Neurospora crassa OR74A: one gene and its partner. The protein of the gene in region 1 purifies or fractionates together with the protein of each later gene. This does not show direct contact. Links are inferred from orthologs where the notes say so. Each region holds a gene or a part of one and is shown on either strand. Other genes may lie near its edges.

Region 1 (3,728 bases):
CGTGTCTCTTCTTCTTCTTCTTCTCTTCTCTGTGTTCTGTATTTCCTGCTGTTTCCGCACCCCAATTGAGTTCCTTAGTACCATGGAAGTTACTGACCCCTCTTCCCTTTGCAACCACAAAAACAGATGTCCAAACCTCCCGCTTCCGCTGGTCCCGCACCTTCCCCATCTTCTTGGGCATCGTAGCCGCCACCTCGATCGCAATCTTCAACTACCAGAAACTCTCTTCCCCCGTGGTCGAGTCAACCCTCTATGCGCTGCGCACGAACCAGCGCGCGCGCGAGTACCTGGGTGACGAGATCTACTTCAAGGCGCAGATTCCGTGGATCTCGGGCGAGATGAACCAGCTGCACGGCCGCATCGACATCAAGTTCAATGTCAAGGGCACCAAGCGCACGGGCGTGATGCGCTTCGCCAGCTTCCGGCCCACGCCCCGAGGCATGTTCGAGACGACCGAGTGGAGTCTGGAGACGGAGGACGGCAAGGTCATTGACCTGCTGGAGGAGGGCGATCCGTTCAGAGCTATCAACGGCCGTGCGATGGAACCTGAGCTGGATGATGATGCAGAGGATGCGAAGGTCAGGGGTTTCAGGCAGATGCCCAAGTAATTGTTTTGGGGTGCTCTTAAGGAGGGAATAGTTTTGAAAAAAGGGAGGATATATATGGGAACCGGGGAAGGTGGTGGTCCCCCTCTCCCCCTCTCAAACAGGATGAGCTGAAGGACAGGATCGTGGTCTGGCTCTCTGATTGAATACCCGAAGGCTGTCAAGGAGGAATATGTGTAAGATATAGGGAGAGAACATACGAACCTATCACGGGCAAGGGTTGTATGTTCAAGTTGTTATACATTTTCGGTAGCTGTACATTTTAACACCCCACGATGCGTGTGTATCATACAAGAGAGAACTAAAAAAAATGAGAAACCGGGAAGGCTTTACCATACATTCCCTTCCATAAACCTAGTACAAACACATACTACAGACCAGAGACAGCCCCCCTCTCTTAAGCCGAAGCTTCTACCGCAGCATTTCCATCCGCCTTCTCTGTCAGCCCATTCTTGATGAGCGAATCTATCAGGCCCTGTCTCCTCGCCTCCTTGAGCTCCAAGTGCAACTTCCTCGCCGCCTGCAACTTCTCCTCCGCATCAGGGAACCGCTCGTTGAGGAGCTGCTTGGTGGCCTCGACAAACTCCTCCGGGGGAGGAGCCTTCTTGACAGCATCCTGAACCTTGACAACCGCACCCTTGTGACCAGCGACCGCGCCCTTGACCACCACGATGCCGAGCTCGTTGTCCACCATCAGAATGGGCAGGTTCTGGACCGTGTGCTGCTGCGCGCCCATGCGACCGGGCATCTTCTTGCCGGGCAACACACGCGAACCGGAGCCCTGCGAACCACCGACGGAACCAATGGTACGGTGGTTCAGCGAGTTACCGTGCGACGCCTCCTGACCGGCGAAGCCGTGACGCTTCATACCACCGGCAAAACCCATACCGCGCGTGATGCCGCGCACGTCCACCACCTGGCCGACGTGGAACCAGTCCGGAAACAGCTGGACGCCGACCGGCAACAAGCCGTCCTGGTTGCGCACCTTGAACTCGGCGAGCGTCTGCTTGGGCGGGATGCCCTTGGCCTCGTAGTAGCCGAGCTGCGGGGCGCCCACGTTTTCGGCGCGGCGCTCGCCCAGGCCAACCTGGACGGCCCAGTAGCCGTTCTTGGCGCGCGTCTTGTTGGCGACGACTTGGACCCGGTCGAGCTGCAGAACGGTGCAGGGGATGCGGGCGCCGGTGCGGCCCATGAAGACGGTCATGCCCTTCTTGACAGCGAGCACGCCGGTGCGCAGGGGTGTAGTCTTCTCGCGGCGCTTGAGGGCAGCGGCCGGGCCCGAGGTGGGCGCCGGAAGACCCTGCGTCACTTGGTTGAATCGTGTGGGCCTGCTGCGCTTCGGGAGCGTGCTCCAGCCGTACTTGACGCCGCGCTTTGTGATCTGAGGGAGGAGGGAGGGAAAGACAGTCGATGGCGAGGAGGCGGAGAAGGTGGGTGTGGTCCGGCCGGCGAGGAGGAGGGAGCTGGCGGCGGCGGTGGTTGTGGTGTGGGTGGCTGACCTCTCGACGAGGGAGAGCTGCCTCCAGCAGCGCGCGGGCAGCCGGGGCGCCATCGTGTATGTGTATAAGTCTGAGGGGAGGGTTGGGTGGTGTTGTGTTGCTTTTGGTGGGGTTGGTCGCAGTCAATTGGACCTGACGGTGTTCGTTGTATCGATGTCGGGGCCCCGGAGCGTCGAGTGGGGGGAATGGAAAGGACACCGGCTGTCTTCGAGACGCGAACCGGAGGGGGCGGAGTTGGGAGGTCGTTTCGGCGCGCGGCCGTTGAGGTGGTTTTGGGGCGGGTGCGGGAGTGGTGGTCGCCGGCTCGAAGCACGGAGCAGCAGAAATTTGATAGCCACTCAGAAATTCAGTAACGGGATGCTCCCCCCCCGATAACGTCGATCGGTTCGGCATCCGGGGATTCACAATTGACAGGGGAGGGGCGGCTATTCACAGGCGGGTACTATGTATTTGGCGGATTGTGGTGTACAGAGTGTGACATCTCTACAAGAAGGGTTAGGGTTAATTGCTTCTTTCTATTCACTTAGGTAGTTTTACTTCCGCTGGAGTGCGGGCGCATTTTACCGCATTGGATCCCCCAAACTCAACCGCTAAAACATCTTCACTCGAACCACCACCACACAGCCCCAGAGAAGAAATCGCGTTTTTGCATCTTGGTTTCCCTTCTTGCACGAAGTGTCTTTTTCATTGTCGCCGTTTTGAGATACCCAATATTCCCATCTTTCATTTCTTCCAAAGGCATCAGCAACCATGGTCTTCTATTTCACTTCGACCGTCGTCAGTCCCCCGGCTTTCATTTATGTGGGGAAAGACAAGTTTGAGAGTACGTGAAGATGATCATCAGCCACAATTGGTGGTATTCTGCATCTCCTTGTGGAATATGCATATATCTTGACACACTCATGGACATTGCATATTTGACTTGGATATAGATGTCAGCTCGTCACTCATCTAACATGCTATTTTATAGACGAGGAGTTGATCCAACACGGCTGGGAGGAGGATGTATGGTAAGTTTCACCCCGGCCAAGCCTAGTTCGGCATTTTCTAACTATTCTTCGTAGGGTATGACTCCCCATGAGGTTCTCGTCATATTATGCTCTGTTTCTCATTACTAGGCCCTACTTAGTTCCATGTCGACAAACTTTCCAGTGCTCATATCTACCTCCGTCTCCCAGAGGGTTGGACATGGGAGAACATTCCCGAGGAGCTCCTGACCGACCTTGGTCAGTTGACCAAGGCCAACTCCATCGAGGGTAAGTTGCTGCTTTTGAATTCTACTGTCAGGAAGTCATGGGGGAATTCGTGAGGACTAACTCTGTGCTTTTGTAAAGGTAACAAGAAGGACAACATCACAATCATCTATACCCCATGGGCCAATCTCAAGAAGGACGGCAGCATGGCGGTCGGCCAGGTCAGCTTCAAGGATCAGAAGAAGGTGAAGCGCATTTTGATCGCGCAGCGCGAAAATGCTATCGTCAACCGTCTGAACAAGACCAAGGTTGAGAAGCACCCGGACCTGCGAGAGGAGAAGGAGCAGCATCTCAAAGAGCTGCGCAAGAAGGATCAGGCGGCGGTGCTGGCGCGGAAGAAGGAGGAGGATCGCCTGAAGAAGGAGCGGGCC
Region 2 (4,234 bases), on another chromosome or scaffold:
GCGTGCCCAAGTTGGTGGACCTGGCGATGAAGGAGGGCGAGTCGGAGAAGGTGAGGCGCAAGGCTACGTATGCGCTTAGCAGTGCGGTGAGGAATTATCAGCCGGCTATGGATGTCGCGGCGGACGAGATGCATAAGCGCGGTCATGAGGTTTTGGTGAACAACGGGACCAAGGTGGATGCGGCGGATATGGATAAAGTGGATGAGGTTATTGACGTTTTGAGAAACAAGGCCAAGTCTGCTTAGAGCTGTCTAAGGGGATGAGTAGGTTGAGGGTTTGGGGTTCATGATGGGGATGACCAAATGAAAGGAAAATGGGACTGAAAAGATATGGTTTTGGTTTTGGCATTGGAAAAGGCGTTTGGTTTTTTTTGTTTGGAGATCCTTGGTTGATCAAGACGAATGGGTTCTGTTGTCATAATATCTTGACCTGTTCTGTGCAAAGCTAGACTGGGATATGGATATGTGGTTCTAGACTTGGGAGTTGTTTATGAAGCAGATACCCTTGACGATGTCCGTTTACACAATCCAGTTCACGCAATGATGACACCCTTCCAATTGTTTTACGCATTTGTGATTCTACTTCTTTGATCTTTGACCGTCAGACCCGGTGGTATTGTTCTTCTTCCGTTTCCTTTCCACTTCGTCTATAAGCCTCCTCCTCGTGATGTTGTTACAAAAGGTATATATACACCCAACATACATCGTCCTTATGTGGTTAGTGTATTCGTATTGTACAAGTTTCACACATCTCCTCATCCTCCTCAATTGTCATCCAACAACTATCATGATGCGAGATGTTGTTCATCATCTTCTCATCCCCCTTCCTTGAATCTCGTCCCTTTCTCAACCTCTCACGATCAACAGCCCGTTTGGCGCTTAGTTGCTGTAGAAAGGAACGCCGAGGGACTGGAGCAGAAGCTTAGCCTGCCTGTCGGAGGTGGCTGTCGTCTTGATGGCGATGTGGCAACCGGGAATCATCTTGGCGGGGTACATCTGGAGAGGATAGAAAGTCAGTAATCTGTCGTCAAGTCCAAGAAAACAAGAAGACGAAGCAGACGGTAGGGCCAAAGCCGGAGCCAGAGCCGGAACCAGAACCCTCCCTACTGTAGCTTCGGCTCCGGCTCCAACTCCAAACTTTTGTTCTCCTCCGTCCTCTCTTTCTCTTCCACCCATCATTTCCCAAGAAACAAACTCACATCATAGTTGCATTCCACCTCGGGAAAAAGCTGAACATCCTCCGGATTCAAACCAAACTGCACATTACCGCTTCCATCACCCGTACTCGCCGGCACGCCCTTCCAATCCTTGATCCGGGGGAGAACCAAATGGATCAACCGATCCATAAACTCCCACGCCGCGTTTCCGTAAATCGTCGTCTTGCAACCAGCCGGTTTGTTCGCCTGCAGCTGCCACTGCACCACGTTGTTCTTGGACCTCGTCATCTCCGGCATCGTCCCCGTCATGGCCAGCAGCACCGCCCGGGCCACAATCAACAAGTCCGGGTTCTTGAGACCGAGCGGCACGAAGGTGGAGACGGTGATTTCCTTGATCTCGGGGATGTTGCGGAACGAAATGTCGCGCTCGCGAATGGGAAGCTCGGGGGCACCGCGGGGCGCGCGGCGGGCACGGTTGGCGAAGTAGGGCGAGTCGCCCTCCCAGGCACGCAAGCGCTCCGTGGGTTCCTTTTTGGGCGTTCCCGGGGGTGTGTGGATGTAGGCCAGGGTCATGAGGTCCGAGGCCATGACGGTGCGGAAGGTTTCCTTGAGACGAGGCATGTTGAAGGGGCCGGGAACGAAGTCGCGGGCGATAGGGTCGGAGGAGGGAGGGGATTGGATGGGGTGGAGGGGGCCGCGGTTGTACTTGGGGGGGTGGTATTGGTATCTGTTCGGTAGGAGGTGAGGCATGGTGGTTAGCAACGTTTAAACATCTTGTTTATGGTTTGCGTATATGTATGTATATATACATGTGTGTGGCTAGCTATGTAAACCACGGGACGGAGGGAGAGTGTATAACGCACCTGCTGCTAGGCAACCTCGCCTTCCTGTCGGCCGCGCGCTTCCATGGCCTGAACTCCTTCTTGTCCTCTTCGCTGGGGATGGGAGCGTCCAATGCCGACCGTGTCTCAAGCTCGGCGAGGTCGGGAATGTTGGATTTGGGAGTAGCGGCAGCAGCGCCGGCACCAGTTTGTGTCGAGGCGCATCTTCGGACGGCGAACTGAGCAGAGAAAGGCTGAAGAGCGCGAGCCGATCGCGAGACCCCGCGGAGACTGGCCATGGTGAATTAGGATACCGAAAAAAGAAACCGGCGTTCGGGCGGACGCTCTGGTTTCGGAATTGGCGACCGTGGAGGTTGTCGCTTCGGAGTGGTGGTTGAGGAAGAGGGTCCGGCGCACGCGGGAAATCGGGGCCGAAGGTCTGTCACGGACGGGCAGAGGGCAGCGAGGTTCCTTCTCCGGCAAGCGCAAGGTCCTGGTCCCGCGTCGAGGCTCGAAGAGGTGCCGGTCCCCGTTGTGCCGCCCGCCGGAATTTTTTTTGGAGCCTCTGCGGAGTCTCGAACCGGGGCCAATGCTTGGCAGCACGGGCCAAAGCTGGATGAGTTTGGGGTTAGGGATATGAGTCTGTTACCCCTGAAAGCGTTCCTGGACCCCTGAGAATGCATCTGATGTGGTTGATGAACTCTAAATAAAGCATGGATTTGGAAATATATCACTATGTTTGTACCAATATAAGCGATTCAGATCAGGATTCCAACACATTAAGACGACATGTATGATTAGATTAGGAGACACTTGTATATGCGTACGCTTCCTTTGCTCGAAGTATCCTCCGAGCCACTAATAATTACATCATTCCGCGCACACCTTATCAGCATGTCTAGCAATAACAACAAAGTATGTAACGGGGAAGAAAGAGAAAACAGAAAAAACATCCAAGTATCATCATCACCGTCCAAGACTACGTCCCCATCGCCTCTCAATATTCTTCCGCCCAGAGCCGCTTCTTCTCACTTGTCCCACACCCCCATCACCATCCCATTTCAACTCATAATCAGACTCCCCATCTTTGCCCAAATTGGGTAACTTCACCTTCACCATCCCCTCGTTTCTCCTTTCTATACTCCTCCTAGCAGGAGAAGTAGTCCCAGCCGGCTGAATACTGTAAAGCAACAACCTTGAGCCAGCACCGCAGAACTCCGTCTTATCACCGACGCAGAACGACCTCTTGCACTCATACAGCTCTGACGCCGCCACCGCCGTGTCCGCGAGCGAATTGCCGCAGTAACACTCCTTGCCGAACTCCACGCCAAAGAGACTGTAGCCCCTCGACTGACAGCGTTCGTGGCACATCTCGACCGTCATGCTCGTGCTGTTGGTGTACGAGTGAGCTTTGAGAATACGAGCCGTTGAGTTGTCGATGAAGCAACCCTGTGGCGTCGCCAAGCGCCCGTTAACCACGGACGGGTTGACGAGCCGGGGCGTCACGTAGTTAGTTTGTCTGAAGACGTCCAGACGAGCGCGGCCACCGCAGCGTGTTGATGGGTCACCGGCGCAGGTGAGATTACAGCCAGTCTGGCCGAGGCTGTAGCCGGGCTTGAACTCGAGACCACAGTAGCATTGGGATTGGAACTCGAGGCCGGCGAGGGGGTAGTTTTGCTGGGCGCAGTAGTTAAGACATTTTTGAATGGTCATGCCGGCGCTGTCGTATAGGTAGGTGCCATTGAGCGCGCGAGCAGTAGGCGCGGCGGTGTTGGAGTCACTGGCACATCCTTGGTAGTCCCAGTTCACAACAGCAGGAATTGTAGGCGAGGCTGAGGCGATGTTCGTGGTGGAAGTAGTGGCAGCAGTGGCGATGGTCGTGGTGGCTTGAGTAGGGGCTGTAGTAGCAACGGCGGCGGCGGTTGTAGTAGTTGTACTAGTTGTAAACAAGACTGGGGTGGTGTTCGTAGTAGAACTAGTAGCGGTAGTGGTGGTAGTGGTGACTGGAGCAGGATCTGTACTCGTGACAGCCGCAGCGGTTGTAGTACTTGTGCCAGCGGCAGGAGGGACTGAAGTGACAGTAGGTGCAGAGAGAGTGGTACTGACAACCGCAGGAGCAGTAGTAGATGAGCTGGATCCTGGAGCGACGCTGAGAGTGATACTCGTAGTAGGAGCATCACTTGCAGTGGGAGCGACACTTACGGAAATCGTAGTAGCAACGCTGGCACTATTCGTGGGAGTGACACTCGCTGAGTTT

What was found.
Region 2: the proteins of NCU06749 (region 1) and NCU04171 purify together in Saccharomyces cerevisiae (affinity purification with mass spectrometry, with the first as the bait; 3 studies listed by BioGRID). This does not show direct contact. The link is inferred for Neurospora crassa OR74A from reciprocal best matches to the Saccharomyces cerevisiae genes MRPL9 and MRPL7.

The regions. Positions count from the first base shown.
Region 1 is NC_026502.1:2,066,236-2,069,963, reverse strand, and holds NCU06749 (mitochondrial 54S ribosomal protein YmL9), read right to left. Parts: upstream 2,501-3,728; 5' UTR 2,158-2,500; coding exon 1,003-2,157; 3' UTR 793-1,002; downstream 1-792. Other genes in the region: NCU06748 (hypothetical protein), read left to right, coding at 127-608; NCU06750 (coiled-coil domain-containing protein 25), read left to right, coding at 2,855-2,927, 3,075-3,114, 3,257-3,360, 3,439-3,728. UniProt on the Saccharomyces cerevisiae protein: Component of the mitochondrial ribosome (mitoribosome), a dedicated translation machinery responsible for the synthesis of mitochondrial genome-encoded proteins, including at least some of the essential transmembrane subunits of the mitochondrial respiratory chain.
Region 2 is NC_026505.1:5,078,941-5,083,174, reverse strand, and holds NCU04171 (mitochondrial 54S ribosomal protein YmL7/YmL5), read right to left. Parts: upstream 2,552-4,234; 5' UTR 2,277-2,551; coding exon 2,020-2,276; intron 1,884-2,019; coding exon 1,199-1,883; intron 996-1,198; coding exon 879-995; 3' UTR 547-878; downstream 1-546. Other genes in the region: NCU04172 (hsp70-like protein), read left to right, coding at 1-245; NCU04170 (hypothetical protein), read right to left, coding at 2,944-4,234.